Linked DNA regions of Styela clava. The main gene of each other region encodes a partner of the protein of the gene in region 3 in a complex. Links are inferred from orthologs where the notes say so. Each region holds a gene or a part of one and is shown on either strand. Other genes may lie near its edges.

Evidence for each region. Proteins that work in one complex are often made in the same cells at the same time.
Region 1: spliceosome-associated protein CWC27 homolog (region 3) and small nuclear ribonucleoprotein Sm D3-like share a complex: the UniProt entries of both Homo sapiens proteins name them as parts of the minor spliceosome. The link is inferred for Styela clava from reciprocal best matches to the Homo sapiens genes CWC27 and SNRPD3.
Region 2: spliceosome-associated protein CWC27 homolog (region 3) and E3 ubiquitin-protein ligase RNF113A-like share a complex: the UniProt entries of both Homo sapiens proteins name them as parts of the minor spliceosome. The link is inferred for Styela clava from reciprocal best matches to the Homo sapiens genes CWC27 and RNF113A.

Annotation. Positions count from the first base shown.
Region 1 is NC_135254.1:11,358,082-11,368,960, reverse strand, and holds small nuclear ribonucleoprotein Sm D3-like, read left to right. Parts: upstream 1-6,088; 5' UTR 6,089-6,214; coding exon 6,215-6,616; 3' UTR 6,617-7,627; downstream 7,628-10,879. Other genes in the region: protein SCAI-like, read left to right, coding at 7,628-7,791, 8,119-8,214, 8,469-8,555, 8,642-8,740, 8,817-8,916, 9,744-9,839, 10,558-10,651. UniProt on the Homo sapiens protein: Plays a role in pre-mRNA splicing as a core component of the spliceosomal U1, U2, U4 and U5 small nuclear ribonucleoproteins (snRNPs), the building blocks of the spliceosome.
Region 2 is NC_135251.1:22,355,875-22,367,070, forward strand, and holds E3 ubiquitin-protein ligase RNF113A-like, read right to left. Parts: upstream 5,726-11,196; 5' UTR 5,581-5,725; coding exon 5,560-5,580; intron 5,056-5,559; coding exon 4,924-5,055; intron 4,347-4,923; coding exon 4,236-4,346; intron 3,674-4,235; coding exon 3,491-3,673; intron 2,976-3,490; coding exon 2,831-2,975; intron 2,562-2,830; coding exon 2,378-2,561; intron 1,537-2,377; coding exon 1,430-1,536; intron 1,152-1,429; exon of another isoform or gene 922-1,151; coding exon 860-921; 3' UTR 760-859; coding exon of another isoform or gene 656-759; 3' UTR 610-655; downstream 1-609. Other genes in the region: condensin complex subunit 3-like, read left to right, coding at 1-163, 656-759; protein SDA1 homolog, read left to right, coding at 5,870-5,953, 6,459-6,563, 7,136-7,234, 7,322-7,432, 7,878-7,949, 8,472-8,630, 9,054-9,166, 10,297-10,433 and 1 more. UniProt on the Homo sapiens protein: Required for pre-mRNA splicing as component of the spliceosome. As a component of the minor spliceosome, involved in the splicing of U12-type introns in pre-mRNAs. E3 ubiquitin-protein ligase that catalyzes the transfer of ubiquitin onto target proteins.
Region 3 is NC_135257.1:11,146,458-11,156,705, reverse strand, and holds spliceosome-associated protein CWC27 homolog, read left to right. Parts: upstream 1-5,672; 5' UTR 5,673-5,695; coding exon 5,696-7,225; 3' UTR 7,226-7,227; downstream 7,228-10,248. Other genes in the region: ras suppressor protein 1-like, read right to left, coding at 17-188, 984-1,089; ras-related protein O-RAL-like, read right to left, coding at 2,683-3,324; snRNA-activating protein complex subunit 3-like, read left to right, coding at 7,624-7,719, 7,800-7,930, 8,256-8,436, 9,056-9,202, 9,446-9,630, 9,986-10,153. UniProt on the Homo sapiens protein: As part of the spliceosome, plays a role in pre-mRNA splicing. Probable inactive PPIase with no peptidyl-prolyl cis-trans isomerase activity. As a component of the minor spliceosome, involved in the splicing of U12-type introns in pre-mRNAs.

The sequences.
Region 1 (10,879 bases), on a different chromosome or scaffold from region 3:
CTAGGTTTATATTGAGATTGACCATTTCAATGCTAAATTTTCCTCAGTCAAAAGGCACACTTGATTCGCAAAGATTTGTGAATGCGCACAGTACACCAATTTGTCTAATGTTTTGATTCCATAGGCAGGAGGTTGTGAATCGGTGCTGCTCAAGATGGGATATTTCTGCTTATAAATGCATATTACGTGTTTCACATGAATACATCGTGCTCAGATTCGACTGTTTCCAAGGTCTAAAGGCTCCAACTGCTTAATTTTATCGGTACACAAGAGAATTTTCAATGTGACATGCATGGGTCAGCTGGAGTCACTAACATGAAGATATCTATAAGCAAGGATAAGATAACCTGGAAGTAACATTCCATAATTTAGAGTAAACAAGACAGCTACGCCCAAATATATGGACACGTCTGTTCGCAGTACAGTACGGTTTACCGTACCGTCGATCAGCGTAAGGAAAAAATCGTAGCAAAGTACCGTAAGGACTTCGTTACGAACCATCGACGTTCGATGTCACGTGATCAAAAAGAAGAGGAGTGTCGTCTATGCGTCCGCAGAACGTTCGGTGACGTCATACCAAACAAAAACAAATCTCACAGAGCTAACAGAAATATTTGAAATAAATAAAAGTAATGGCCTTCTGGAGAAAAACTTCATCTTTAACCAGTAAAAATTTCGAAGCAATCGGTCCAGTAATGAAAGAGAAAAGCGGTTTTTTAGATTTCCCACTAGATGTCCAAAAAGTTTCAAAGAACAACAATAGGACCAACATAACATTGAAACGATCGTTATGTCCACTACGTGTCCGAAAATGGATCTGCCTCCACAGCCCTTTCAAATGGAAGATATGACTCTTTAGGGGTAATTTCTATCAAATATTTTACAGTGTTATGGTTCCAATGAAAATGGGTATAGGCGGCTTCTTTTAAAGTGTGGTAGGTCTAGTCGAAAGACACATTAAATGTTTATGCTAACAACTGCAAAATTGCAACGCATATAAGTTAACAGAATTTGTTGAAATGGTCCTGCATTTTGCCTTTCTTTAAAATCCCTCTTTTTCTAACTATTCTTTTCCTCTCTGGGGATGGCGAAAATTCAAATATTGATGGCTTTTATAAGCAGCTGATAATGGGTTCTCTTTCCTTTTTCCTGAAAAGAAATTAAACACTAATCATCAATTGACAGTGCCAAGTTTGTGTATCAGATCAGTAATAGATTACCTGCTAACTAACGAAACAATCAGACAACACCTTCTGACCATTAATGAAGATTTCTTTTAATGTGAAACGCAAATATGCCTACCAATATCGGTAGTTTTTAGGAAAGGATTTATCATGGGGGGAGGATTGCAAGGTGCAACATCGTACGATTACCATTCTGTGTCGGGATTAGTTAGTCAGGTATTTGTTTTCAGAAGCATGGACTTGATGGTGGGGGATGTCGTAATTGACCAGCGGACGTGTGAACCACCTTCAGTGGGAGGAGAGCTGAAATCCTCTCGCACAAAACTATCCCCGCATGGGATTGAAACCTGTGAAACTACCAGGGTGGTCAGAGATGCGGTGGCGAGCGTATTTCTAGATAGCGAATTCAATTGAATTCTGGTTATTTTTTGCATGAGCACTGACTGGTGTTGAACTTTAGTTATCTATTCAACTTTTCACACTTACTAATAGATTACCTGCTAACCAGGGAAACAATACCTTATGGCAATTGATGATTTATTCCTTACACAAGTCAAGTCTGCAAGTAGGCCTACCAATAACAGTAGTTTGTCATCTTCTTCCCTTTGAAATGGGGAAGCTTATGAATATTTAAAGAAATTGATAACGGCACATTATCACTCACCACCAACGAAGTGCTGTCCGCAAACAGTGAAACACAAGCGAGATGACTTCTGAACTTGACACCAAGCAGTCCTGCCAATAGATGGTATCTTTTGAAAAAGTGGAATATAACTGAAGATCCATTTCGTTGTCTATACTATACATACAGCCAACGGTACAATACGAAATAACCATTTTCCACACCCAAACAAAACGGAAACGTATAATCCGACCTGCAACTGACAGGAGCCAACTGGACGTTTTTGTTTTTCTGCCGTCCAGTAAACAAAGTCACGTGACCCGTGCAAGTCCTCTATATAGCTCTGTGTTTTCAATGGACGTGTGCCCGAACCTTGACCCCTCAAAAATTCTCCCTGTATTTTGGAAGTGTTTTGGAGAGTTGGCGCTTACAAACTGGCTCACATGTTTGCAAACTATTTCTATTCAAAATCTTGAACCACGTGCCACTTACAGGCACTGATAGCTAATTTTAGGCTTGCCTATCTTAGCGTTTACGGTATCAATTTTTGATTATTGCAACTAAACTAAAGGTCCTCGGAGTATATCATGGCAATTAAGGTATCTGATGTACAGCTATTATTTGGAAACACAACTGAAAACTTACACGAAAACGAGGTAATGTTTACAACCATGCTTGAACAATTCTAAGCGAAAGAAGTGTCTCAGTGGCTGCAAATTGCAATTGTACGTCACTGTTAATTTATTTTCGATTGGTCACTTTCACGCAAATAAAAAAAAGAAATTGATTTTCATCCATACAGGCAGGGCCGAATCATATGGCCTTTTGGAAGCCATAAGCACTTAAAAATTTGTTGCCTTATATGTAAATGATAATAATAGGTATGTAACTAGTGGTGGTGGTGGTAACATTGGTGCCTTAAGCACGTGTTTATTTTGCTCAATGGTTTATTCAGCCTTGGCTACAACATCGCTGCATTATTATACACTCACAAATCTGTCAGCATAATAGAGGGCGCTCCGGAGGTATTCGTGCCAAGATGACGCACAACCTTAACAACCCTAACCTGGTACCCATACTATGTCCAGGTTGTGCGCCATCTTGGTACGAATACTCCGGGATCACCTAATAGAGCAGGACTATGTCACTATATAGAGTTAGTCTCGCGTTGTGAAACTAATACTTTCAGTAAAATCGAATATTGACAGTATTAGAGTTACAGTTAAATGCAATTTACACGTTTAGCGACTGACGCTTTTTAACAGTATTGAAGTTTCTGTGAAATGCTATTTATACGTTTAACAACTGACGCTTTGTAACAGTATTGAGTTATGGTGAAATGCTATTTAAACGTTTTACGACTGACGCTTTTTAACAGTATTGAAGTTACAATGAAAACTATTTATATAAAATAACAAGGGGGCGCAATGGGAATTAATTCCCAATTGTCGTGCGTGGACCACCACATTGAATTATCTGACAGAAGTAACTTTGTTCAATTCTTTTTATTGCAAAAGTATTCAAAAAAAAAAGTTTCTAGCTAGCCTATGTGGGCTCGATACCGGACCAATATTAACTGTTGGGTCGTCAGACCGATTCGAGTTATTTCATGATACTGCGGAGTCATAAAAATTCGACCATGGAAATTGAAATTTGTGTGGTGCTCCCTTTCCCTTGCTGCCCTAAGCACGTGCTCATTTTGCTTAATGGGTTATCCGGCCCTGCATCAACAGCGTCATCATGCAAACAAGAGAGCTATGCTCAAATATATGGACACGTAGCGCCACATAATTTTGATGACATCATAGCAAAAAATAAAAGTTATAGACTTCTGGAGAAAAATTCCATCTTTCACCACTGAAAATTTCAAAGCAATTGGTCCAGTAATCGAAGAGAAAAGCGGTTTCTTCAAAACGTGTCGATGAACAAGAACAACAACAACAAAACGATCGTTATGAGAAAGAGAGAGAGAGAGAGAGAGAGATTTATTGATTTGTCAACCGGAAAACAAACAATGGTATACAAATTAATATATACAATATACACAAAGTTAATTTGGTATAGACTGGGAGAGCGATACGACCATAAGGTCATCGGAGTCAGCTACCCCCCAAGTTCACTATTAAGATTCACAGTTAAACGAATGTCCACTAAACGTGTCCAATAATGAAGACGCTTCAAAACGTGATCATTAGCCAATGAAAAGGATTCATTATTTTATCACCCACAGATAATAAAGTCGATGAGCGGCTGGCCAGCCCGATTTTTCTTTATTTTCAAGAAAGTTTTGCAAATTAAATTCTTTTTGCCTTTCACATTCTGTGGATTGTATATGGATGGGAGCCAAACAGTGACGCAATTTAAAATTTAGAAAAAATTCCGATTCTATTTTGTACCAAACTCACTAACAACAGCTTCGCTCATTTCGGATAGTGAATGTATCTCAAGGTTTAAGAATGGGTTCGCTTACTATCACGACATTCTAAGAATGCGTCGCTTGAACCCCCTGAATCCCACAACTTGATATCATTAAAATTGTTTCGAAATTATAAAAAAATTGTTATTGACTTGGGCCAAGTTTACAATTTTGATCAAATTTTGCCAATTCAAGATATCTTTCTATGAAGGTTTCATATTTATATATTTTTTGTGCTCAAATTATCAAAGATCGCATGTAAAACAAGAGGCCAGCAACACATCCAAATAATCTTTCATTGAGATTTTTGGAATCATAACTTCACAATGGTTTGTGATCAAACGCCTTCCATCTGATCTGGCTTTTATTCCTACCAAAAAAAAAAAAAGAGTTTGATATATAATTGCTATTTTTCCGTCGATAAATCGGAATCACGACAATAATGAGTAAATTAGAATTGAAGACTGTTGAAGAACTATAGGAAAATTTCTCCACATGAGAAGCTGAACGGTAAAACGTCAGTTTCAAAAAATAAACTTGCACACTTTTTCCAGACGATAACAAATAAAATGTAGGCTATTGGATCAATTATTTTTTAGATTTAATTCAAAACAATAAAAAAAAACAAATTTTATCCAGATTAATCGCTTGTACTTTTTGGGAATGTCCACAAGTTTAAGATTATGTGACCATTTTACGTTATATATATATTTCCATTGTTATTGAGAATCATAAACTCTACGATAGTGCGTTGGAAATGCTCAAGCAGGCTACCATCTCTTTGAGGCACTTTTCTTTCGTACAATTTTGTACTCACGCAATTGCTCACTTGTTGAATTCAAAATCTCTATCGACGGTAGAAAGTAATATGACGTTTGAATTTCAAGACAGCGTTATAGATCATGTTGATTGTGTATCTATAGTTACTTTTAGTGTTCGTGTTGAGTGAGACCATCTGTATTTGAATCTGAATTCTCTTATAGTTTATTTTTAAAAATATGTGCTTGATATGGAAGTTTCTTAAGTAAACCTGCTGTTATTAAATGATAGTTTTAATTTCAATACGTTATGGACTACGTTATCGGGTTATAAACAGTGCCGGCATTGAAATATCAGCAGACACTTTTTTTCTCAGACTGCAGGACATAGCGATTTTCGAGAAGAAGTTTTTCCGCATAATGATGTTTATCAACCCCCTTTTTATGACCCGTTGCAATCGAATAGCATCCTATACCTATTACTGTGCTCGAAATTGTTTCAATTGACTACATGCGATAAGGAAACTCAGAACAAAAATGTAACAATATTTAACGAGAATATCGGTCAGAGACCGAAGACTTATCGATCGAAAGTTAGGGGATCCCCCAAAACAGCGCTCCTATTCCACACTGACACCTTGTGTCCCATCACTAATTAATTAATAACTCGCTAATTATACGACCTAATTCTTCCAAAATCAATAGGCTTCTGATCCGAGATATGATGAATGCATATGCAAAATTTGGAGCGGATTCATCCTCGCTTTCGTGAGATATCGCGTGTATCTAACAGACAAACAAACAAACAAACAAACAAACAGACAAAATACCTATCAACATACTTACCGATCTTAAGATCGATAAGTAATAATAACGTATGGTTAACGTAACTAAAATAAAATGTAAACGACATGTCAATGAACACGGAATGAAATAAACAAAGTGGTTGTCGAAATTTAGTTTCTAATTTAAATTAAAATTTCAAAACGATCCATTTTTCCTTTTTGTCTAATAAGGCTGTTTAAGCAATGACCGGCAATGACCTAATAATATCGTCATTTAGGTCATTCGTTCGAATATTTTTCACAGTTCCGATGAGGCAACGAGACGCGGACGCGGGAAAAAGGCTTTCCTTCGGTGTTGCTTTTGCGCATTGTCTAGTTGTGACCTCGCCGTGTTAGTTTCAATTTTTATCTCGCTGAATACAATTGTTTGGCACATAATTTCATTAAAAATGTCTATTGGAGTTCCAATCAAAGTACTTCATGAGGCGGAGGGCCATATTATCACATGTGAAACCGCGAATGGAGAAGTTTATCGTGGAAAACTCATAGAAGCTGAGGATAACATGAATAGTCAAATGACAGATGTAACTGTTACTTATAGAGACGGTAGAACAGCACAGTTGCAGAATATTTACATCCGCGGAAGTCAAGTTAGGTTTATGATTTTGCCTGATATGCTTAAAAATGCTCCGATGCTGAAGCAACAACGCGGTGGTTCTGCCGGAAGAGGAAAAGCGGCTATTTTGAAAGCTCAAGTTCGCGGCCGCGGAAGAGGCGGATTCAGCAGAGGAGGCGGTGGTTTCAGGGGCCGTGGTGGATTTGATTCTGCCAGCTTCCGTGGACGTCACTAATCCTTGGATAGAGTTGAAAAAAGTTATTGGCCCAAGTCTTTTAGATTTTGTTGGAGCTGCTCCCACCGCCTTTCAATCTAAGCTTCTGCTATCCACAGATCCATGCTTACTGTCTGTGATTTATTCATTTCTGGTAGGCAGCTGATGTATTATATCATTCCATTATGTAGTTCTGGCTTGTGGTAAATTATTGATTGTTTTTAGTGTGACTGGATGATATTAATATCTATACTTATGTCCATTTTGGCATGATTATTTTATAATGATCCAGAAAATGTGTAAATTTCAATTTTTGAAGTTTGGAATGATAGTCTACCAAATCTTAAAATATTAGGTAATACTCAATTTCGATTATATTTCTGTTATTATGTACATCATCTTGAGATCCCAATATTGGGAGTGATGCATATGATTTTACATGTTTGTCTTGCATAATATTTGAATTATTTTTCATTCGTTTTGGTTTCTTTTACAACATCTGCCTGCCTGTATGTAAAGGCAGACAGGTGTTGCAATTTTTGGTCTCCAAGTTTTATTCAACCTGGGACAATTTCTTTTAGCATTGCTCGAATGTGATTACTGTTATATCAATGTCTACGAACCAGAGCGAATTTTAACACAAGTTGAATTTGAATAATATTATTCTTGATCTGTGCATTATATTTCTTGTGATGTTAATTTGCTGCTATTAGCTTCATTATTTCAGTCTGCTAAAGTCGGCATTATGTCTGTATGTTGTTGGTACCTTTTTTTGATGCCACTTTGGTATGTAATCCCAATGTCTGATCTTAGAGATTTTTGAATTATCCTAACCCTAACCCAGTGATGACAGACTTGGGATTAGAAACTGAATTCTATGCGAATTTCTTTATGAGATTAAGTAGTTTTATGATTCGAAATCGCATACCAAAGTGGCATCCTTTTTTCAATCATGATAGGCTAACGATACGTTGATTTTGTTTAGTGTGGATCTGGGAATATAACTTTGTCAGATTTTGGTTCAAGATTTAAATGGGTCCAATTTCTTTTTATAACAGATTTGAGTTCTTTTGGTATTGTGGTCTTGACATAATGATGGAAACTGTGCCTCCGACTCCCACAGCTGAGGAACGAAAAGTAGTTCAGGAATTTGGTGATTTATTGGAAGCTTCTAAAAATCTTTTCAATGGACTCCGGTAATTGAAATTCAACATTTTCAATAAACATTTTCAAGCATATCAAATACAAAAATCAGGATTTTCTGCAAAATCCTTTGTGACAGTTTTTCCAGATTGAAAATTTTGTGGTTTGAACACTTGTAAGGATAATATATATGAACGATTATTTAGAATACTACTTGACAATTCGTCTTTCCGAAACTGCAGTTGAAACGTAAGGGTAGAATCGTACACATTTAGAATCCATAACCCCAATATCCTGATTGATTGATCTTGTCACACTTGACCAGATAATTAAAGGATATGGTATGTATTTGTTGGTAATATTTTGTTCTTGCATTTCAGAGATCTACCTCAATATGGGCAAAGACAATGGCAACCATATTTTGCCAGAACTTTTGAGACATATACAAAGTTGTGGAAATTTCAACAAGAAAACAGGTTTATATTAATTCATTCTATGCTAATTTTGAATCCTTATTCTTGCTGTCTCAACCAGGGTGACCTAAACTACATAGACTATGCAGAAGATTTCTGGGCGGGGGGTGTTCTGAAAACTCCGTAGCTCTTTTTGTATTAGTGTCTTTCCAGACCAAACGTGTGAAAAATCGTTATAATATTACAGACTGTTCAGTTACACACTTTTTATAAGATGATATGTGCAACATTACATAATGTTTTTTACTTATTTTCAGACTGGTTTTAGACAGTGTATATGGATTGAAACGATGGCAAATAGGTGAAATTGCATCAAAGATTGGGCAATTATATTATCATTACTAGTAAGTGCTATTTAAAAATAATTTCCTTTAATGTAGTCGCCAAAAAATCATAGTTTTACAAAAAACTTATTGAAGTGGTATTTCAGCCTACGAACGAGTGAAGCGAATTATCTAAATGAAGCCTACCATTTTTACTCTGCAATAAGAACAAGGAATTATTACAAAAATGCACACAAGGAAGAAAGGTATCTTCGTTTGTTCGTGTGATTTGGGGGTTTATTAACTTGCATTCTTAATTAAGTTAATGTCATTTTGTTTCAGTTGTTCTGATCTGTTGTTGAAGAAGCATCGATATTATGCCAGATTCATTGTTGTTTGTTTATTACTTGATTACAAGCAGGATGTTTATAATCTTGTAATGGTAAGTTCTGTAGTGGTATGATGTTTATTTATCGCATGAAAAAAAATTATGCTTTTTTCATAAACATATGGCCAAAAACATTTCCAATATTTGATATTTTTGAACTTGGTTTTGTTGATAAAAAGTTTACATGAAACCATGTATGGGAGGATTGAGAATAATAGATATGTTTTATTTTTGATGATCTATATACCTTATTGGTATAGCTTCCTTTGTGGTCAATGATATTGTATATATAACAGGGCTCTTCAAACTGCGGGTCCCCACCCCGGTCGCAAAAGGGTCCAATGGGAGTCGCATTGTCAGAACTAGCCATGTGAGAAATCTTTTTCGACACCAACTTATGTTAAAACAAAATATCAATCAAATTCGAACTATTTGGAACTGCGACCCAACATTACCGAAATAGAAACAAGATTCGATAGTTTGTGCGAGAATATGCAATAATATTTGTTTCATTAAAAATTTTTGGGGTCGTGAAGAAAAAATTGGCCATGCCAAGTAGATCGCGATGAAAAAAGTTTGAAGAACACTGGTTAAGTGATGGTTAGTTCTAATGCTAATCAAGGCTAAGAACATGCTAAAGAGTTGTCGTTCGTCGCGAGTTATTATTAATTGATTAGTGATGGAACACGCGATGTCGCTATTGAATCAGAGCGAAGGATACATACCGCTAGATCAATAAGTCGGCGTCTCTGATTGCTATCTAGTTGTATCAGTTACTGCATTGCAGATAAACAACACATTTAAGCATCATGTTCAATATAGAATTATGTTGTAGTGTTTCGCAAAGAAAAAGCCTCTTAATATTACTTCAAATGATTCAGGATTTTTCTAAACAAGTTGAAGAACAGAAGCAGCATCTTGAAAACAATGGACAGGAATGGACACAAGTAGTTTCAGAAATAAAAGCTTTTCTTGATGTAGGATATTTCGGTGATTTATTTATTTATTTTTCCTCCACCCCGTTTTTTTCCTCTGTTCATCTGAAACAAATAACTGGCTAACTAGTCTCATACCTAGGCTTACCATACGTCCCGCTTTTCAGCGTTTTGTCCCGGTGTCCCGATAAGTCAGCCAAAAGTCCCGCTTTTCCAGCATAATACACAAACATGTTCTCGTTACTGTTGTTTCTGTGTAGCGCAGCGCTAGCCTACTTACTGAAGGTGAATCCGTTCGTTTCCCGCTGATTCCCATACTAATACTAATTAGTCTAAATTCAAATTATTTGTACCGGTATCGTTAACGTCAATTCCTTCCTATTTTTCGAACTGAACCCGATATTTGGACAGAGAATATGCGCATGAAATTTATCTTTTGAGGCGTCCTGATTTGAAGTCACAAAAATATGGTAACCCTACTCATACCTGACATGGACTGGTAACCAGACGAGAAGCAGTGGTTAGGCACATGATCATGATTAAACTGCCTTATCGGCTTTCCTCTTCATCGGGTTAAATATGTAAATCCTATCTTAATATAAGTTAATAAAATCTTTAATACTCTATTGACATACTTCAATGGGAAGTATGCAAAACCCTATTTGATAGCAATGACTTATGAACTGCTGATAAAATCCCATGTTGCAACTTGCAACTCTATAAATCTGGTTGAAATTTTACTGTCAACTTTGTATTTCAGGCAGAACCAGTTGAAGTTTTGAAAGCTGAAACTTATCAAAAATGTGATTTAAGCATGAGACTTTGTTCTGGAATATTACCTCCACCAGAGAAAGGTACGAAATTCAGTCTTTTCTTCCACTCCACAAAGTTCTGGTCCATTTACTGAATGTGTTTTTTTGTTAAAAAAATTTCCTATTGTTATGGTAAAATCACTTTTCTCTTTAGCTACTGGACCTATTGCTTCGAAATTTTCACTGGTTAACCGTTGTATTTTTCGCTAGAAGGCTTTTACTTTTTTTAGGCTTTTAATTTTATTGGGCTATATGGGATTTGTTTCTTGT
Region 2 (11,196 bases), on a different chromosome or scaffold from region 3:
AAACAATCTTGGAGATATTTGAAGAAGTTCCAATCACAAGTTTTATCACTCATACTTGTGAGGCCATCGAGCAAACAACAGGAAAATATGAGCTGTGAAGAGGAGACCATGAACGATGAGAATACTCAACATTCTGAGGAAGCTAGTGAAGACAACAGCCAGGGTGCGGAAAGTGGAGATTCTGTATTTATTTAATGTATTATTACTGGGATAAATAACTGAAAAAATCCTTAAGCACTGAGTCTTGTTTCTTTGCATAACAGAAAAATATATTGTGAAACCTTGTTTTGTTATTATTACAAGTATAAAACTATTCAACTCATGGGTAAGGATTTCGGCGAGGCCATGTATTTATTCTTTTATTATTACGTCTTCTGCTCTGAACAAGGCCAGGTGCAGCAGTCACCAATCAATATCCACTGGTATGTCAGGACCCGCCTTCCTTCCTATGATAATATTATCCTCATACATGTTGAGTGAGGGTCCAGGAACGTGCGCACTTTTCCTTCCGTTTGGCCACAAAATACTCATGATGACCTCATCTGTCGCATTATCTACCCAGGACGAGTCAGTCCACAGCCCCCAAACCTACTTTGCACGAAAACATCATTGACAACAAGTAAAATAACATTTATTATTGTATCACTCTCTACAGGAAAAACCTTGGTGCTCGATGAAAACGATACAACATTCCATATACAAAGAAAGAGACTGAAGAACAACAATCAGCCACCAACATCAGCTTTCACAAATGCTTGATTGATATTCAGCTTGGCGAGTACCTGCGACTTTTTGATAGATTTTGGTCATCTCATCATTCAATATTCTGAGCAGCAATCATAAGCTTTCCTTTCTTCCATCAGTCTTCGTCTTGTCCATAACCTTCTGCATCCTTCACTTTCTCCAGTTTTTTTATTAGTTCTGTTCGAAAATTATTATTAGTTTTGGAGGTACAAGATTTCATTACAGCCCTATATTTTACTGTTGCTGTTAACATGAGTTGTTTTTATACACAAACATGTACATAGTTGGCCATTTTTAGGCTTGTTCTAATTTGATTATTCATGTATGGGCCACCAAAACTGGCTGTGTGAAATTAATATTCTACTGCCATGTGATATTTTATAATGTAATAAATTGTTCATGTTTTATGATGTTTGGTGGTGCAGATTGGGGCATCAGTTTGGTTGTTTTAGATATGGATTATATGTCGGTAATCGTGAAGGACATTGAAGATGAAAATTGATTTAGGTAACGATTAACAGAATAACTTGTTCTTGGGCTGTTCAATAAATTACCCACATTAGTGGGATTTTCTATCTTACTTTTGGAAGATCTACACGTGTCTATTAAAATAGATACAAAATACGAATAATCAATCCCCCACCACAACTTCATATTTGATATGCGCATAGATATGTCAGAATACCTTTAGCTGGGTTGAAAACTCCGCTTGTCTGAGTTCCGCATACAAAACATCGTTTTGATTTCTTATAATGATCCAGAGCACATTTTTCGCAATAATAATGTTTGCACCTGTAAATTTATAACAACAAAATTGGCATCGTTATTTTCCTCCTGATCACAATATTAAAAAATTAGTAGTTTTTAAAATTTCATGACCCACGGCCAGTGGTGGGCTTCAAAATTTTTGTAAGCCGGTTCCTTCCCAAAAGTCATATTTTCCAGCCGGTTCTTTTATAAACAGAACATTGACAGTAACCAGTAATGCTAACCGGTTCGCTGATCTCATAAAATTCCGTGAGAAGGTTCTATAGAACCGGCTGACTCCCACCACTGCCTACGGCCACTTTCCAAAACTCATCATTTGCATGTCCCAGCTATTCTATAAACATAACTAGTTTTTTTTTTTCAACACAGCTATATCACAAATGGTACAGGGTAAAAGTCTTTGCTCTAAGCTGATTGCCTTGAGTGATACCCCGGGCAGGGGTGGGCAAGGTTTTTTGACCTTGGGCCAAAAATTTGCCACTCAGATTGGCAGGCCATGTAAGTGTGACGTCAGAAAAGTTATGAACAGTATTTACAGTGTTACAAACGAAAAGGTTGAAAATAAAAAGCCTCGTGCCAAAACTAAATATAATCGCAATCTCAACAAATTCCTTCCTTCTAAAAACATCAACTTTAGTTGTAGCAGCATCAGCGGGCAAGATTGAATTTCCCAATGGACCTGATTTGGCCAGCAGGCTGTAGTTTGCTCATGTCAGGTCTAGCAGCTTATGTAACTGAAAAAAAGAGCGTAGACAGACCTACATCAGTATTGCTTTTAACAGTACTAGAATCATAGGCCCCAAATCATCATTGCCAACCCATAAATGAGTGGATGAAAATAAATTGGTATTGCTTTCCAACTTACTTGGTAACGATTGGGTCTTTGAAAGTATTCCGACAAATTAGACATTTGAATGGTAAATCTTCATCATCGCTTGATACTTCCCAATTTTCATCATCGTTTCCACCATAATGTCCCTCAGCCATCTCTCTTTCTAGCTGCCAACCATGCTTGTAATCACTTCGATCATGGAGAAATTTACAAGAATCTGAGAAAAGGAAATTGTTCCTAAATTTTGATACTGATTTGTTGAACTGAAAATTAGCTTTAAACATTCTTATTTAAACAACAATTCTATTTCAGTAAGGTGAGTGCTGGAAATAAGTCATGAAACCTGAGGTTTAAGAAACGCTAAACTGAAAAAGATATCTGTTTTTGCCTATTGTTATGGTTGTACATGATTTGTTATTAGCAAAAAGCGTTTTGTATACCACCATCGGTGTTGCGATCAGAAATGAATCATTACTTGATCCTTACCTCCAAATCCACAAAACCCAGTTTCTTTGTAATCTTTACAAATATCTGGTTGATAATCCCATCTGACTGTTGCTCTTAAATGTTCTGGAGCACGAATTGGACCTTTTCTAACATTTCCTGATGCTGCGTTACCAGCTGCAGTGTCCTACAAAGACAAGTCAGAGATAAAAAACAAGTCCATATTCATTGAATATACCCTTATTCATTCAAAAATCAGTCTACATATGGAAAACTGAAAATGGCATGAAAAAACAATTTTAACATTAGCTCCTATTGGAAATGAGGATCATATATTCACATTTTTTCCTTTATCATGAAAGTGGCATTATTATTGATAGGAAATTTTTCTTGGTTCTCATCAATATTCGAATATGTTCTGATTGGATCTCTCGGACAAGACTAGACCACAACATTATGCCAACGACTTATCGCCTGTGAAAGTTGTGCATCAACTGTGGGTTTCAAATGATTAGATCAATTCGCAGTCTTTCTGAGATTATGTCGAACCTTAAAATGCAGTTTATCTGAATAATAACAGGCATACTAGTTGTCCCTCAGCCTGACTACATAAGGCATGATTCTATTGTAGTGACAAAAGAAAGCTTGTATATGTATTATATTAGAAATAATGAAATAGATACAAGCATTGTCAATTCATACCTTTGGCTTGATAAATTGCCTATATCCAGCTTGCCCTCTGTATAAATTCTCAGATGCCTCACCAGAGTCAATTTTGTCTTGAATTTCAAGTCCACGTTCAAATATGGCTTGTGCATCCCTGTCTTTTTCTGTGTCTAGTTCATAAGTCCTTGTTGCTCCCATATCATCAGGTCCTGATGGTTTCTAAGTGAAATTTAAAAAAAAAAATGACTGAATCATAAGCTTCTTACAAAGGAATTGTCATTCTAGCAAAAGAGTGTACTTGATTAAATATCCTGATACGGGAGCGGTGCATAGTGCTAAGAAATGAGTACGTACTCGTCATCGCACCTCTGATTACACTGCAGATTTGAATGAATCCTGTGGGAGACGACTATGTGTGAGAGGATATTTAGACATATGATTAAATCGTCTTTCCTCTTACCAGGATAATTATAATGGAAGTCCTGCCCAATTGAATCAACTAATTATAGTGCAGAAAAGGTAGGAAAGTACTACTTAAAAAAGTCTGCAAGAATTGAATTTTATTCAAATATAGGATAGGATTTACATATTTATACCGGGGTATATAGGGGTCATTTTCAATTTTCAGCCAGGTATATAGTAAACTGGTAAGAAAACGAGTTAGTTGTTGTAAATTTATTACTATGGACAAGCCTAGTAGCGACTACTTGACATTCTAAGTAGGTTCTTTGACAATGGCTGACATGAAATAAATACACAAATCATATTTAAAACAACTTACAGCAGTCTTCGATGATTTGTAGGAAACACTGATTTTATTTTTATCGTCATCAGAACCTTCACCGCTACTACTGCTACTGTAATCTACTTTTTCTTTTGTGAACTTCGCACTCTGTAGATAAAAACACATTTTATGATATTAAAGGTTTCACTTGCTAAATTGTAGAACCTTACATAAAAGAATTACGGGAAATTAAAAAAAATCAGAGTCCAAAGTCAATTACTGAGTCGGGTCTCGCTGGCATTTAGTTGATAACTCCGAGTCAATTTCATTCAGACGGCTTTCCGTGGCTTATATAAATGGTGATTGTGTCAGGGACTCGGGTCTTCCAACATTGTAAATTATATGGAAGTGATGATGAATGAATGATCATTTTGTTTCATTCAATTATACAGACTCCACCGACTCCACCTGGCGTATCGATTGTGCTTCATCTGTGATAGAATAGCTTCATAAAAACATGACGATAATTTCTTGTACAGAGATGAATCCTATGACATACTGTGATACAAGAACAATATCTGAATATATTTACAACACCAAATTTCTGGGCAGTTATAGGTAAGACAGGAAAAGGTGGCAGGGCGATGTCCTATCCTAACCCAACACAGACAGAATCGAATAAAACAAAGCAGAAAATGAACGGCGGGGCAATGACAAAATATTACCGATCTATCTAACTACTCACCGATTGAACCATTGGATTCATCTTTCTCTTCTTCTCTTTCCTCACAACAGTTTCCTGGTCTTCTTCATCACTACTTTTTTTTTCAATTTCATCACCGCTGTCTTTTTTCTTTCTTCTATTCCTACCACGAAACTGCAAAGTGAAAATTTTATAAAGAATTAGGTTTTCGTGTATTACATTTTTTTGAATCAAAACTTAGTAAAACCGTCTAATCTGAGCGTTTTGTACAGTTTATGCTTTTAAGATGACAACACCTATTGCTAATATAACTGATTAAAAATAATAGTTATAACTGTTAGAAAAACACTTCTGAGTTCTGAGTCACACAAGTTCGGAGCATAAATGAGTAACCAAATTCAGAAACATTTAGAACACCAAAAACATTTTCTGATTTTAGATGAGTTATTCGAGAACTTGGATAAATGGACATATATTATAATTAAGTGCTGTATGGAAATATGTGCTTCAGGTAATAAAAAAATTTTGGTCAAGAAAATGATCAGTATATAGGAAGACTCATCTTGAACCCGGTAGAAAGCGACAATATTCTCAGATTGAAAACTAGAATTAATCGCAACTAAGGCTTTATCCTTGATTGGCAAATTAAAGTAAAATTCGTAAAAAAGAAAAGCTGACCTTTCCGGATTTCTTGAACATGTTTAGTTTTCTTCTTTTACACACTTTCTAAAGTTTTATTGTCTGAAACTTGACCAAAACCATCGCAACCCGCGCTTCGCAACGTTTGATTTACAACTTTCAGAGAAATTACTGCAGAGCTTAAAATTAACAAAATTTGTTTTCACTATTATGATGTCACACTTTACTCAAGTGACCGTGGCACGTGGTACACAGCTGATCTGATTCTGTGTGATCTCACTTCCCCAGCTGAATTACTGGCCCATCGGCAGCTCCTTTGGATATTTTGATTTGAAATATTGGTGCAGAGATGGGGAGAACAAATCAACTTCCATATAATTTACCGCAGCTTCAAAATTTAATCAAAAGAGATCCGGTTTCTTATCAAGATGAGGTGAGAGTACTTTAATAAATAAATTATCGTATCTACAAGACGGCCTAAGCTTCGCCCGTGAATTTTATTTCATCGTTTTAAGGTATGCTGTTTATGAATTTATTCTTTTCAGTATGATTGTGTTGATCCATGTCATGTGTTTTTTCACTTGTGTGGTTGAATTGGCACAAATGTTACAGCGTTTGCTATAAACATTTCTCTAGTTTTTCCCATTCTCCCGATCTTCCTGTCGTCATTGTCTGTGTATTTTATTTTTGTTTATTCATGTTCTGTGATGTAGACGAAAGATCAAAATGAAGTTGTACTGTATCTACAATGTCTATTCCGCACATCATGACATTAATACCTTCTGTATTTATCGCAAAATAATGTATTAATGGGCAGATTTGGGTACTGTGGTGTTACAATGCTGGATAATTTTAAGCTGATCTGATTAAATTTGTTGTGATATACCATCAGGATATACATATCTAGTCAAATATTTGTATTATATTTATGTTAACAGTTCGAGCAACAGTATCGGAGATATCAATCCAATATGAAATTGTTTCTTCTTCAACCAAATGAAGAATCGAAAGATCTATCGGAACTCATAACATTTATCGGCCAGGTCAGCAGGTTGTTTTTGCATGTTCTTGTTTATCATTTATGTGTATATTGCATATCGATAAATCTTGTATTCACTAGCTTGTTGTAGCGATAATTCGACATAGGCTGTGATGATGTCAAATTAAATATTATCAATACAAGAATAAATCCAAATTTTGATTTCGAAATGACCATTATTTTAACTCAAAATGGAAGTTTCTGGTGTCGGTGTGAATCATATCTATCAATTTTACTGTTATTTATGAAATTTTCAGAATCGATGTGCAGTGACTTTTACTCAAAAGTTTAAAATTTGCTGAAACTTTGACTTGACTTGAGATCAGATGACCCGTGTGACCTGACTTGATTTGAAACTTGGGGACTAGGGACTTGCACCCAACAGATTTAATTTATCTTAGAAAGAATTATGACTTGTAATTCTAATTTTCAAATATACATCCTCAGTCATCACCATCCTGGAGTTGCTTTTTTGGTAAAGCAGTAGTAATCCAGTCTCAATTCTATCATTATCTGATGTGCTGGCATGTTGAGGTTTTTATATACTAATGTTAAATTGTTATTTTTTATATTTAGGTAGCTCATTGCTATCGAGAGTTGGTAAAAGATTTTCCCAACCAATTACAAGAAATTCTTCAGAAACATGCACTCTCGATAAACCATGAAATGAGACTGGTCAGTATATTTTTAATGTTGATTATCAAAATGTAAAATTAAATACGCTTGCTATTCGATAAAATTAATTTTGTTTAAATATTTCAGAATTTCTGCAAAAGTTTGATGCTTCTTCGAAACAAGGATCTTATAACACCACATTCTTTGTTTGAATTATTTTTTGAGTTATTGAGATGCCCTGACAAACTTCTTCGTAAGGTATATGTGGATTTCATATTACAGTAGTTACTTGGAAATACTTGACAAGGTCCGAATAGCTATGGTTAAATTATTTTTAAGTTTTCCCTCATTCCCTTGTACATTCTGTATTATCAGGCACTAGTAGTCAAGGAATTGCTCAAGTTTAAAATATTCTGATTCAGCTTAGCTATACAAACTATTTTCTGTGTTGCAAACGGACATCCAAAAATTTCATTCATATTTATATTTACAGTCTTACATTCAATTCTGGATTGGGTTATTATAACTCTTATCTGAACAAGGCTCTAGATAAGCTACTTTTATGAGAAGATCTAGCTATTACATTCCACAAAGACTGGATTCGGCAATCTGCATACGGAATTTATCATAGAACAGTAGACTTTGGTTGAAGAATTTGTTAATTTACATTAAGTTACTTCTTTGTATATTTTATTAATTTCAGACGCTGTATAATTTCATAGTTCAAGATATCAAGAATTTAAATCATAAGCATAAGAATAATAAGTTAAATAAGGTAAGTTGAATTCACTTAAAATTTCATGTCAGTTTGAATGGCGTGTTCAACTACAAACTATAGATCTGACATGGGCAACTCACGGACCTCGGGCCAAATCCGGCCCGTTGGGTAATTCAATCCAGCCCTGCTGATGCTGCCACAACCAAACTAATGAGGAATTTGTTGAGATTGCGATTGGATTTGGTTTTGGCACGAGGCTTATTGTCTTCCACCTTTGCTTTTGTACACTGTAAATATTGTTGTAACTTTTCATGTCACACTTGATGGCCTGCCAGTCTAGGTGGGCATCCACACCCTTATCAAAAGCTTTTAGTTCGAATAACTTATATAGCCCACTGTAATTATTCTTATATTATATCTGAATAGGTCTGAGCTCATGATTTATAATGTCTGTAGCAATTTTTTTCACCCGAAAGAAAAAAAAATGAGTAGAATGACTTGTATATTAAAAATTGTTTCTATGTAGAGTTCGAATCCCGCTTCAGTAGACCTCAACCTCTTTTGTTTATGTTTTCCTAGGCGCTACAAAATTTCATGTACACAATGTTATCAGACAGTAATGCAATTGCGGCAAAAATGTCGCTTGATGTTATGACAGAATTATACCACAGACAAATATGGAATGATACAAAAACAGTGAATGTGATTAGCACAGCATGCTTTTCAAAGATTACAAAGGTTTTTTTATTTGATGATATATTAATTTAACATTATTTAGCGGTGTAAAACATAGTTTTGCTATATTCGAATATCGTTTAAAAAATAATGTTTAATCAAACACCTGTTAGTTGGCCCATCAACTTGGCTTTATTGCATTGGCATCATATGCTATAGGTTCCTATTCAGTTTGCAATATTTATCAAAATACCCCCTTTCTCACCCAGAGTATGAAACAAATCAGATTTGTAAAATATTTTGTGTTTTCTCAAACTTAATTTGGTATATATATTTCTCATAAAGAAAAGTGTGAAAGTCAAATAAACTTTATATACCTGTATTACGCTATAACAGTATTTTCCCCGTTACATAGGTAGGTGTGTATGAGAAAATTATATTAATTTTTGATCTAAATGTTCCTGCTGTTTTTAATGTACAATCCAGGTTTCATCATGCGCTCTTCGATTTTTTCTTGGGCAAGATGAAATGAAGAGTAGAGTCGAAGATGATTCAGATTCAGATAATGGCGAAGTAACAGCTAGAGATGTTCTTATAAGGTTGGTGTGTTTATAATTGGTTCAAATCTACTTAACGTAATAGTTAATCTAGGAGTATTAACAATATTGTTATTTTTGCACCATATTTTTTAAATATGACAAAGCTATTCATTTTATGTCCATGTCAAACTCAATCGCACCATTTCACCAAAAAATACAAGATTGTATTGTAATAGCTGAATTCCTAAGGGTCTATATCAAGGGTGGGCAACTCTAGTCGGCGAGTCAGATGTGGGAGAATGAAGTCCTCGGTGGGCCGGATCATTACAAAAAATACTTTGGTATCCGATCTTTGTTAAATGCTCTGCTCAATCTATGTTAAATGTTTTGCTCGACACTCTCTGTCAACTTTACGTTTTCTTGATATATATATTCCATGTTTAATAAATCTTAATATAAAATCTAATTTCTAAAATCTATTTATATTTAGAATCTAAATATAACTGATAACAGTAGTGGGGAATGTTTACAACGCTCTCTGCTTTGACCTTTTAACAAGTGTGCTAACTTAATTGTTTGTTCACTAGGACAATTGTTTATTTCACCAGCTCGCACTAACAGTGAGGTGAGAGTAGAGCGATCGGTAACTTTCAAGAATGATGCGTCGGACCACATTACAGAGTGTGGTTGATACAGTCAGCAGGCCGGTCAAAATCTCGTTGCGGCCGTATGTTGCCCACCCCTGGTCTACATATAGGCTATATATATGAATGGTTATGCTTGAAAAAATATCAATAAAAAAAATAATTTTGCAATCATTTTCGCGATTTTTTATACACTAAACTAATTACAAGTAGAGTAATTGCAACTGATTACAGCTGGGTTTTTGCCTGTAATTGTACAAAAACTTCAGGCAAATTTGTTAAACATCAGGTTACATTGGTTAAATTTATTTTTGTATATGATTGCAGGCTTGCAGCATTATTATGTATTAATAATCATTATTTATAAACAAAATTAGAATTTGATGGTATGCGAAAAAAATCCATCGACAATCGTAAATACAATTTTTTCTGTAAAATATGACTTTTTTCAAAGAAATTAGGAAATGCTAAGAATATCAGTGAAACTTTCATTTATTTGTTTGCAATTTGCATTACATGATTATTCAATTGCATGATATCATTCAGGTTTGGTGTAAATAAGAAATCAACAAGAGCTAAAAAGAAAAGAGATAAGGCGTTGAAAACATTGGGTAAACATAAGAAGAAATTGAAAAAACAAGCAACTGATTTTTCTGCAGTTCATCTTCTGCATGATCCTCAAGGTATATATACATTCTTAGTTCAAATTAACACGAAGATAGAGTAGTAGCTGAAATTGTAGAATAATTATTACTTTATTATCTCTTACACAAAATGGTTTGTTTTATACTCATTGTCTTGAATTGAACGTTTACGTTATGCAAATTTTTAGTTTTAAGCTAATTCAAAGTTTCCGCTGGCAAGTAGACCGAATGGTCATTTTGTGGATATCCTGTCCATTCTGTGCAAAGGCATAAATATATACAAATATTTCGTAAGCTGTCTTGCATTCATTTCATTGTGCTTTTCCTAATTGACAAATAAAAAACGATTTGATTGATTGAATATCCTGCCTTTTATAGAAGATCTATTGCTTAGTTCTCAAGGATTCTGAATTTTCTTACTTGATGTAGCTATAAAAATATGTATAATGCACATTCATATATCTGGACTGATAAATGGAAGAGAGAATGTGGTTTGCCATAGCATAGGTTAAAGCCGTCTTGTAAACTTTCCTCTCATCCCAAGGATAAATATGGAAATTTTTTTTCTCCTCCATCTATTGGTCACAATCCCCGAAAAATTCTCGTTATCTAATATAAAAGATAAAATATCTTAATACCAACTAGAATCAAATTATTATACAGCTAAACCAAAATTGGCCATACAAATCTCCATTGAAATTAATTTTAACTTCTACATATTTGTAACTGCATTTTACAGGTTTTTCCGAACGTTTGTACAAAGTCCTGGAAAAGTCTACTGAAAGATTTGAACATAAACTAA
Region 3 (10,248 bases):
AGTCATGGTAACACACCCTAAATTCAAATGCTTTAATTGCTGCATTCCACTGAGTGATGTGGGTAATTCCTCAATCAAATTGTTGAATAGATTTAAAATAGACAAATTTGCAAGTTCTCCGATACTTGGTGGAACTGCAGTTAATTTGTTGTGACTCATCGTTAACTGTGTCAAATGGTCCAGCATCACTGAAAAACAAAAGTTAAATACAATAATAATTGAGATAAAAATGTTAATATTTGAATTTGGTTCAACAAAGAATTGTACAAAAAGACCCAATTAGATAAATATTTCTATCTCATAAACACCACAAGAGTTTCTCATGTTAGTTTAACACAAAAGAAATGTCATGAGAAATGTCAAATTTTACATCTATAAAATCTGGCAAACATCATCAACTTTGCAGTTGGAAGTAGGAGTTGGCATAAAAGTCCTCCTTTATATTGGTTTCGAATTGATCAAACTTATTCAGACATCTCTACATCGCACACTTAAGGACATTCATAAATATAGCACAAAATAAAACATTGTGAACAGAAGCAAAATAAATAACATAAATAGAGAAAAACAATCCAAAAAGGCATACTAGCAGAGAAACTATTACAAATTGATCTAAAACAGTATTTTAGAATATTGAATGCAGTATAGATTGGGTCATGTTTGAGATAGAACTTCGCATAAATCATGTAATATAAAAATTCATTGAATTTGATATTGCAATATAATATATTAAAATTGCATGAACAAGGCAAAAAAATTTCAAATTTGAATAATTCAACCAATCATGGCATTCAAGTCGCAACATTTCCATTACAAGTATTCAAATATAACATAACAAAGGATCTTCCACCACGGGTCATGTAACATGGAAAAAATACCGTCATATCAGATATATATACTTCTGTGGAGATAAAAACCACCTCTAAAAGTAATGTTTCTAAAACATTCAACGCTATTTTCAAATCTGGACAGATTTTACATACTTAGCCCGGGAACTTCATTCACATTTTGAATCCCTTTATCACTGAGATCAACTTCTCGACATCTTGACTCTTTCGCTTCTTCAACAATTTTTTTCAACTTTGACATTGTCAATGATTTTCAAAAAATGTCATGTATCAATAATCTAAAGAGTATGCGAAAACACAATAAAACAACAATTAGCAGAAAATTTAATAAAATATAGAAACTCGACATATTCTTACAGGTCGAAAGAATTGTAAGATTCACCAAGTTGAACAAAGAAATCATATTTATACACAGACAATAAACCACAAGGTAATATTAATAATAGGAATAATATTTATTGTACACTAAACAGCGAAATCAAAAATATCAAGCCCAAGCTATTGCATAAAATGCACCTCCCAACTTCAGATAAAAACAATAACACATAAATCATGTACTTGGACAAATATTTTGAAAAGTGTTCGAAATATTTAAATGTCAGGCTATTACATAAATCTGAAGCACTGGTGAATATGGCTGTACATGATTTACATTAGAATGACATTATTTCCAGAAAGGAATTGTGTTGTGAGCTCATGAAATATGATAAGCTGCTCAGTTAAGTTAGAACATAGCAAATATCCTGGATACCGAGATATTAAGCAGTATCATACTAAATGTTCAAATCGGTCCCAAAGGATTCAATTAGACACAGAATAATTCGTTGTATGGAAGAATAATTTAAAGATATAGATAACCATAATATAATCAACTTTAGAATTCTAAGGTATGCTTCACACAGACAGCATTTTTTCACAGAAGCTTTAAAGGAGTATCACTGCTGAGTGCAGATTGATTGTCACACCAGTGTCTTTACCAGTGATATTTATTCATTTCAAGATGTTGAGCAAAAAGTTTGAGAATACACTACAATTTTTCTACAATATCATAGCCTCAATTAAGTCAAAAATTATCTACAGGAAGAACAAGATCAATCTGCAGGTTAATATGATATGAAGTATTAACAAATTATGAATTGAAATACAATTAAATAGAAAGCAGAGGTTATAGATAAAATTGTGGAATCATAAATTACAAGGATAAAAGCAGTCATTTCCACTTCTTCATCTACAGGCTTTTAATCATATGCTATGACATGTGATTGATTACTGGATAGCAATTAATTTACCTAATAGCAACAAACAATATGTAATTTCATAGTAAAGTCCTTGGACTTCCAAAATTTTTCAAACTATAATTAGTGCCATAAACAAAGGTCCTGCTTCTCCAAAAAAGTTAACATGTGACTATTCAAAGATGGTTTTTCTCTCATTTTTTGGAATATGAAAGTTTGGGCATGAAATAAATTGTCATGACTGCAACTTTGCTCAAACATTTTTGAAGACAATTTATGCTAAAAAATGGAATAGTAGCATTATTTTTAAATAGTTTGCACATAGACATAGTGTACTCAAACAGTTAAATACTAGCGAGTTATGGCAGAAAGATGAATATAGTCTCTGACATATATTGACAAAATTTTTCAAAAAAATTAAAAGACCAAAAAACACATTTAATGTGCAGCTTTACATTGATCAAGTACATAAATCTGTAAGTACGTGCAGTTGTAATTTTGCCACTGCAAGTCTTGAAATAAAATTATATAGAGAATTGTTTTCAACTACCATTCAGATGGTCTTAAGTTTCGTGATGCGATTATGACGACATAAGGAATCAAACAATTGTGCAGCATTTTTTGCATCGTCCAATACAGTCTTCAGATTCAGGACTATTGCTTGAAGTTTGTGCAGTCGCGACTTTGTTTTTCTCATCTTTGATCAATTTTAATAAATCGAAAAATACTTTGTCAACATTGCTTCTTGTCTTGGCCGATGTTTCGACATACTGAACTCCCATATTATCAGCAAATTGTTGTGCTTCACTTTGTGTGACTTGACGTTTGTCTTCTAAATCAGACTTATTACCAACAAGAATAAATGGAATATTGTTCGCTGTTACTGAATCAGCTCCTTTAACGCGCAATATTTGATCCCTGAATTCCTGGGTGTCATCAAAAGAGGTTTTTTCCGCAATTGAAAATACAACCAAAAAACCTTCTCCGCTTCGAAAATAATTATCTCTGATGGCTGCATAGTCTTCTTGTCCAGCTGTGTCTAAAATATCTATTTGAGCATCTTCACCATCCAAAATTACTTTTTTTCGATAACTGTCAGCTTTGGTTGGTTCATAATCTTCAACAAATTCGTCGTACATGAACTGGAGAGTAAGCGCAGATTTGCCAACTCCTCCACTTCCAACCATTATAACTTTGTGAAGTGCAGCTTGAGCATTTGATTTATTTTTGTTAGCTGCCATTTGTTAACATTCGTATAGTCTATCTATCACAAAATATAATTCTCTAGTAACACAGAGGCACAATACATCGACTCAAATTATTGCAACGAAAATAGCCGCACCCAAAAAATCAAAGACCTTCGATAAAAAGGGGGCGTGGAATCTAAGCCCGAAATCACAAGCCATGACGTTACGTCACATTCCGCAAGTGTCAGGTTGACATGCAGCGCCAAAACAATAATGTATGAATGCTTAAAGTCAAAAAAAGAGCATCAGTTGAATGACCGGGGCAGTTTCTTACACCATCGTGATCGACTGAGGACACTTCAATCCAGAATAGCTGAATAGAGGTTTGGTAGTGTCATAAATAAACCATATAAGACTCAAACTCCATCATCTGAACATATTAACATTGAGGTTTTCCAGCTGTAAGCTCTGAAGTTACAAACGTATTCCGCGTGACTGTGCTCTTGAGTTTGAAATTGTCTATTTGTTAAAAGCGCTAGTTCAGGGTTATTTATGAGTCAGCTGAAAAAATATAATAGACTACATCCTATTCCTTTCTTCATTTTTTATTTTTTCATAAAATTGAGTTGAATCAATTCTGTACATACAGACATAGACGAATGCCGGTACCGTACCCGTTGCCTATTTCGGCATTTGTTTTGATAGCAATAAGAAAATGATATCCCCCCTTTTTATGAAATATACATCTTATATAAAAATATAAGAGGTTCATATTTTAGCCACGGCCCACGGGTGCTGTTAAAGACAAACTAAACAGTTGTTCTGGTCTAAGACTCATAAGTATAAGTATATTTTGATTATAATATAAGTAGACTATACTTCTGCTTTTTATGGTGACAAATAACATACATTGATTCTCTCTGTGTACTAATATTACTATATATTTATTATATTTAATTATTTCAAGTAAATTCTGAGAAAATATTTTCGGATACGAATATGAAGGGAGGAATATGAAATATCGAATATGTTTTAAATTATCATCACGTTCATGTGAAAGATTGCATAAATCATTTGTCTATATCTTCTTCACGTTAATCATATCTAAAACGACATAAATACGAAAGGTAATTGTTTTTGCTGTTTACTAGCTTGGGATATCATACGTTTTGATCTACATGTCTGATGACTCAAAATTCCTAATTTTTTGATGAAAATGTTCCCAACTATCTAAAATTCAAATATTTACTATATTGAATATAATGAATTGTGAATGTATTTGAATATTCAATTTGTTTTATACGCCTGTGCGATAAGGCATTTACATATAACTTGGTTAAAGATTTGTCAGTTTCCTATTACTGGGTATCATAACGTAGTTACTTTGCAGTATCACATTCATTACCACACTAAGCTAAAAATGAGAACAATCTGCTACTCCTGTATTCACGTCTTGAAATCACGGTGTGTTAATCTAAACACCGAACCAGAAAATGTTTATGCATATCGGCAAATTGCAATTGCTTAATTCTTTATAATTAGGTAGATTTGTTGCGATATATACCTATGTGTTGTGAATGTGATGATAGATATTTGATAATGTGACCAAAAATGTCTTTTTCTGCTAAAAACTGTCAAATGCTACGATAAAATTCTTTTTTCTTCCAGTAAATTGGATTATTATTTTCCGAAGAATGTGATGTTGATGTTTTTAGATTGCGTATTCTTTTAGTTATTGTGCAGTGTCAGGTTGGTGATTTGTGCTGATATGGAGGCCCAGACTGTCTCGTAAAGAAGGTGTTCGCACTGATTGCTATAATTGATTTCTATAAATGATTCTAAACCAGACATGGGCAAACTACGGCCCGCGGGCCAAATCCAGCATGTTGGGTAATTCAATCTGGCCTGCCTGATGCAGCCACAACCAAACTAAAATTTTGGTGTTTTAGCTGAAAATAGCTTAACTAATGAATTTGTTGAGATTGTGAATCAATTTAGTTTCAGCATGAGGCTTATTGTTTCCACTTTTGCTTTTATGGCAATGTAAATATTGTTTAAAAAATGTAATTTTTTACATCACACTTACATGGCCCGCCTATCTAGGTGTGCAAAAATTTTGGCCCTCGAATCCAAAAACCTTGCCCACCCCTGTTCTAAACCATGTTTCATTTTTGTCATCATGACAGGTTTAGTTACATAATTGGGTCTCATAAGAGTTACAAATCATTATTTTGATTTAGTGGTCTCTAGCACCAGATTCCTGGGCAACAACCTTTGTTTTTTAAAACATTCTCTTTATTTTATTCAACCTGTTTCTATTTATGTGGTAATCCCATAGTAAACAAGGCCTGGTTTTTAGGCATCCTTTCTTGTTCAGTTTTATTGTTAACTATTATTTGAATTCTTTCACAGATAAATAATTATAATGAGCAACATTTACATTAAAGAGCCCTCAACCAATGGCAAAGTTCTTTTGCATACATCACTTGGGGATATTGATATTGAATTATGGTCGAAAGAGGCACCTATAGCATGCAGAAACTTTGTGCAATTATGTATGGAGGGATATTATGACAATGTTATATTTCATCGCGTAGTGCCAGGTTTCATAGTCCAGGGAGGTGATCCTACTGGGACTGGATCTGGTGGTGAATCCATTTTTGGTAAACCTTTCAAAGATGAACTGCATCAAAGATTACGTTTTGTTCGAAGAGGACTCGTGGCGATGGCTAATGCTGGTCCAAATGACAATGCTAGCCAATTTTTTTTTACTCTGGGTCCATGTAATGATTTGAACAAAAAACATACAATATTTGCTAAAGTTACGGGTGATACTGTATATAACATGGTTAGGCTTGGTGAGGTCGATGTAGATGAAAATGAAAGACCTTTAAATCCCCCAATGATAAAATGGACAAAAGTTCTTGCTAATCCATTTGATGACATTGAACCCAGAGTAGAGCCTGAGAGAAATAGGAAAAAGAAAGATGATAAAACAAAGGCTAAGAGTCAATCTCGTGCCACAAAGGATTACAAATTATTATCCTTTGGGGATGAAGCAGAGGTTGATGAAGAAGAATCCATTGAATTGGCCTTCAAAGGTTCAAAAAGTAGTCATGACTTGGCAAAAGATCCTAAATTGAGTGCTGCACCAGCTATTTCTAAACTTGAAGAAAATGATAATGAAGAAACATGTAAACGAGACAGAGACAAAAGTGAGTCTTCATCGTCAGATTCTACTGATGAGTCTTCTTCAGGAAAAGAAGAAAAAAGGAATTCTAGGCAACGAATAAAAGACAAACTTACAGCAGCGAAAAGGGCAAAAATAGATAGGTCTGATACAACTGAAAAGACGATTTCTAAAGAAAACATAAAGGATGAAAAACTGAAACAACTTCGTAACGAGTCCAGAATGCTTGCCAGAGAACTAGCAGGAAAGTCTAAAGAAAATATTGAAAAAGTTGATTCATCATCTGGAAGTGACAATGAAACTAATACTGCATCTTCAAATCAAATGTTTGCTGAATATAAAGCTCAACAGAAAATCTATCGGGATAAAATTGTTGGAACAAATAAGAAAGGATTGTCACGAGAACAGCAAACACTTGCAATGTTGGGCAGCTTTCGTTCTAAGATGTTGGCGGTAAAGGAAGAAGAGAGTAGTGAAGATGAAGCTAAAGATGATGATGACAACAATTTCAATGTTGTTGGATGGATGAATCATAAATTTAAGAATGTCGACCATGAACTTAGAGATGCTAAGGATATGAACAGAGATGTTAATGAAGATAGATATGAAATCACTGATCCCAGAAATCCTTTAAATCAAAGGAGAAGAGAGAATGATAAAAAGAAAAAAGACAGTAGTAAAGAGAGGCATAGAGATAGCAGGAGAAATGAATCTTCTCGTCGTGATCATCATCATAGTGACAGACACCACCGCCATAGGAGATGAATTCTTTTATGGCCATCTGTTTTGACTTTTGGAACAGTTAAAGTTGTCCAACGTTGATATATTTTTGAACTGAATATGCGATAACCAGAGTGTTGCTGAAAAAGGGTCAGCAAATAATATGTGATCATATTCAGGGAATGGTGAATGGCAATCTCATCTCTAGAAATGTTCTTGAAGCTGATAGAACATAGTCATCACAGGAAAAGAATAAATTATAAAATGCCATAAAGTGAATGAAAACATTAAATGTAACAATTATTTATTGATTAACCTGTAGATTTTTTATGGAATAATATGGTTTTAGTTTTATATGATTATGGTTACCATTTCACGCCATAATCACCCCAGTTATGAACTAAAATATTTTTAGAATAAGAAAGTAAATTACCTATTTCAAAATGTCAAAAATATTGAATGAGAAGAGAAATGTAAGCATCAGAGTATCTGAAGCAATGGGAATGATATCACCACTAATCCATATCGGGCAGTTCAAGGTAAACTATTATTAGAAAAGGACTAGCAATATTCCATACATTCTCCATTTTGTGTACTATGACCTAATTTTATGTTTCAGAAAGATGCCTCACAAGTACTTGATGAATTTCACATGAACATTGATAAGAAAATATCAGACACACCAGAAGATGTTGCTCATGATCTAAACACGAATGTTGAAACTGCAACCGAGTTGATGGAAGTTTGTAGGTTGGTTTTTACCAAGTACTGTGTTGCTAAAGAGACTTCACAAGTAAAAAAGCAAATTCTTCTAACTGAATTTTCTAAACTGATATAGGCAACTGCTTTCTATCCTCAATAGTCAAAACCCCATCTTAGAAATCGTTTGATCAGGTCAATTTTGAATGATATCTCATATATGGCAACAAACCTGATGATGCAGTGACTTGGTTTCGTCTGTTACACAGAAATTGTCTTCTGTGACAGTTGACATTTTTTGATGCACTGTAAGTAATATACCAGTAATTCTCTCATGTTGAGAAATACGTCAGCATACATTTTTTGTGCAATTTAGTCCAAATAAGCTTGAATGTCCTCGAGAGAAAAACTTCCATCGTTGGGAAGATGTCAAGCTTATTCCTACTGATTCTGGACTGGATACTGTGAAGGCATGGATAAAGTTGAATAAAACGAGGAATCTAGAAAAGAAAACTATTATTCTCAAGAGTAAATACACTGAATATGATTGCAACTTGGTAAGATTTTCAGAATATTCTCTTCTTTTGTTTTCATATTTTAGCATTCTGTATGATTTATAGAGATATGAATTTTAGTTTTATTGTGAATTTGTTATTAGGCAGATTATTTATTAGGATAATTCGATTTAATGCTTTATTATATAATAATAAACTAATGTTCAATTCCATATGTTGTATGGTAAGAGTATTTTGTATGACTGGTTTTTATATGATCCCGGTATTGTAGTGCTTAGGAATTTGCCAAAGCATAATTTTGAAAAAGTTTTTCCTTTTGTAAATCGTTTAAATGTAATCAAATAGCATACCACCACTTGGTATACTTTAATCATCAAAATAATTCTGTTTTGCTGGTATTAGGTTCGGTTTTATATGTAGTTATAGTTTATACAACTCAGACAATCAAACTAACACCTCGAACCTCTGAAATGTTTCATTTGTGTTCCGCATTAACAAAAAGGCTGAAAACCACTGCTGTAGCCATTTGACTTGTTGCCCTTGGGTTCCATTCTAGTATGGTTGAAGATTCCACGAGAAGAACTTCATGGCCAAAAAATAATTCGAAATTATTTTTATGTTTGATAGGCTCAAGTGGGTATAACTGGGTTTTTGTTTCCAGGAAAATCAGCTATCATCAAAGCCTGCGAAGAATAAGGATGATAAAATAAAATGTCCAGAAACTGTGATAACAATTGGTGTCAATTTTCCAAGATCATATAGAACGTATAAACACACAACTGTTGATTATAGAGTTTTAGGATCTCAGGTCAGTTTTGTCATTCCTACAATTCACATTTTTAGTCATAAGTCCCAGTAAAGGTCCGTTTTAAATAATGTCAACTTGGATTCAAGTCTACCGTATATAAAATCTATTTGTCGAGTTGGGTCCAGTACCATTTCAACTGCAAGTTGTAATTACCGTAATTCCACTAAAATTCTTCGTGTGATGTAATATGCTACTCTTGGTGACTTGGTTAATCTTTGTGCATTTATATTTATTGTTTTGTAGAAATTGACAGAACTCAGAGATATAATACCATGTGCGATAGATCAGCAACCAGTTGGTAAATTTACTGATAATCCAGATCATCCTCGGGATATTAAATGTAAAGATTTATATAAAGCTGGATTCTTTTTTATTGAAAATACTTTTTACAATGATCACCGATATGAAACTCAAAATGACATATCCAAGTAAGTTTATTTCATTATAGAAATGTATTTATTACTTATTGCAAAGCGGTGATTAGGCCAATATTTATACAATCACAGTTTGAATGCATCCTGCGCTACTTGGATGTCTTTAATATGAATTCTTCAACTAATTCTCAAAAATTATCACTTGAAGAGGGTAGAGAAGATATTGTTGTTCAACATAGCTTACCCAATTTACACTGGTTGGCTTGTGGGTTCAACTGTTAAGATTAACACTAAAAGGTTTCATTGTTCTTGTCTGTGTTATGTTTGTGCGTGCATTACAACATGGGTTATAAGTAAATTTTTTTCAGTTAAGAGTGCTTAACCAAGCTTGTTTTGTTAATGTATGCAGAATTATTTTCGACTGGGTAGAAGCAAATGGTGCGGAAATGCCCTCAGATTGCAAATGTCTTAATATGGAAGACTATACATTTGATGATTTAGATTTGTGTCTCGGCTCACCTTATCTCTACATGCATCAGGGCAATTGTGAACATGTCATAATATTCAAGGATATCAGGTAAGTTGCGGCTAAATTTGATTCAGGCACAAAACTGCTGGTTACAATATGTTAAGCTTTTAATTGACAAAAAATCAACATTTTGTTTTAACTCA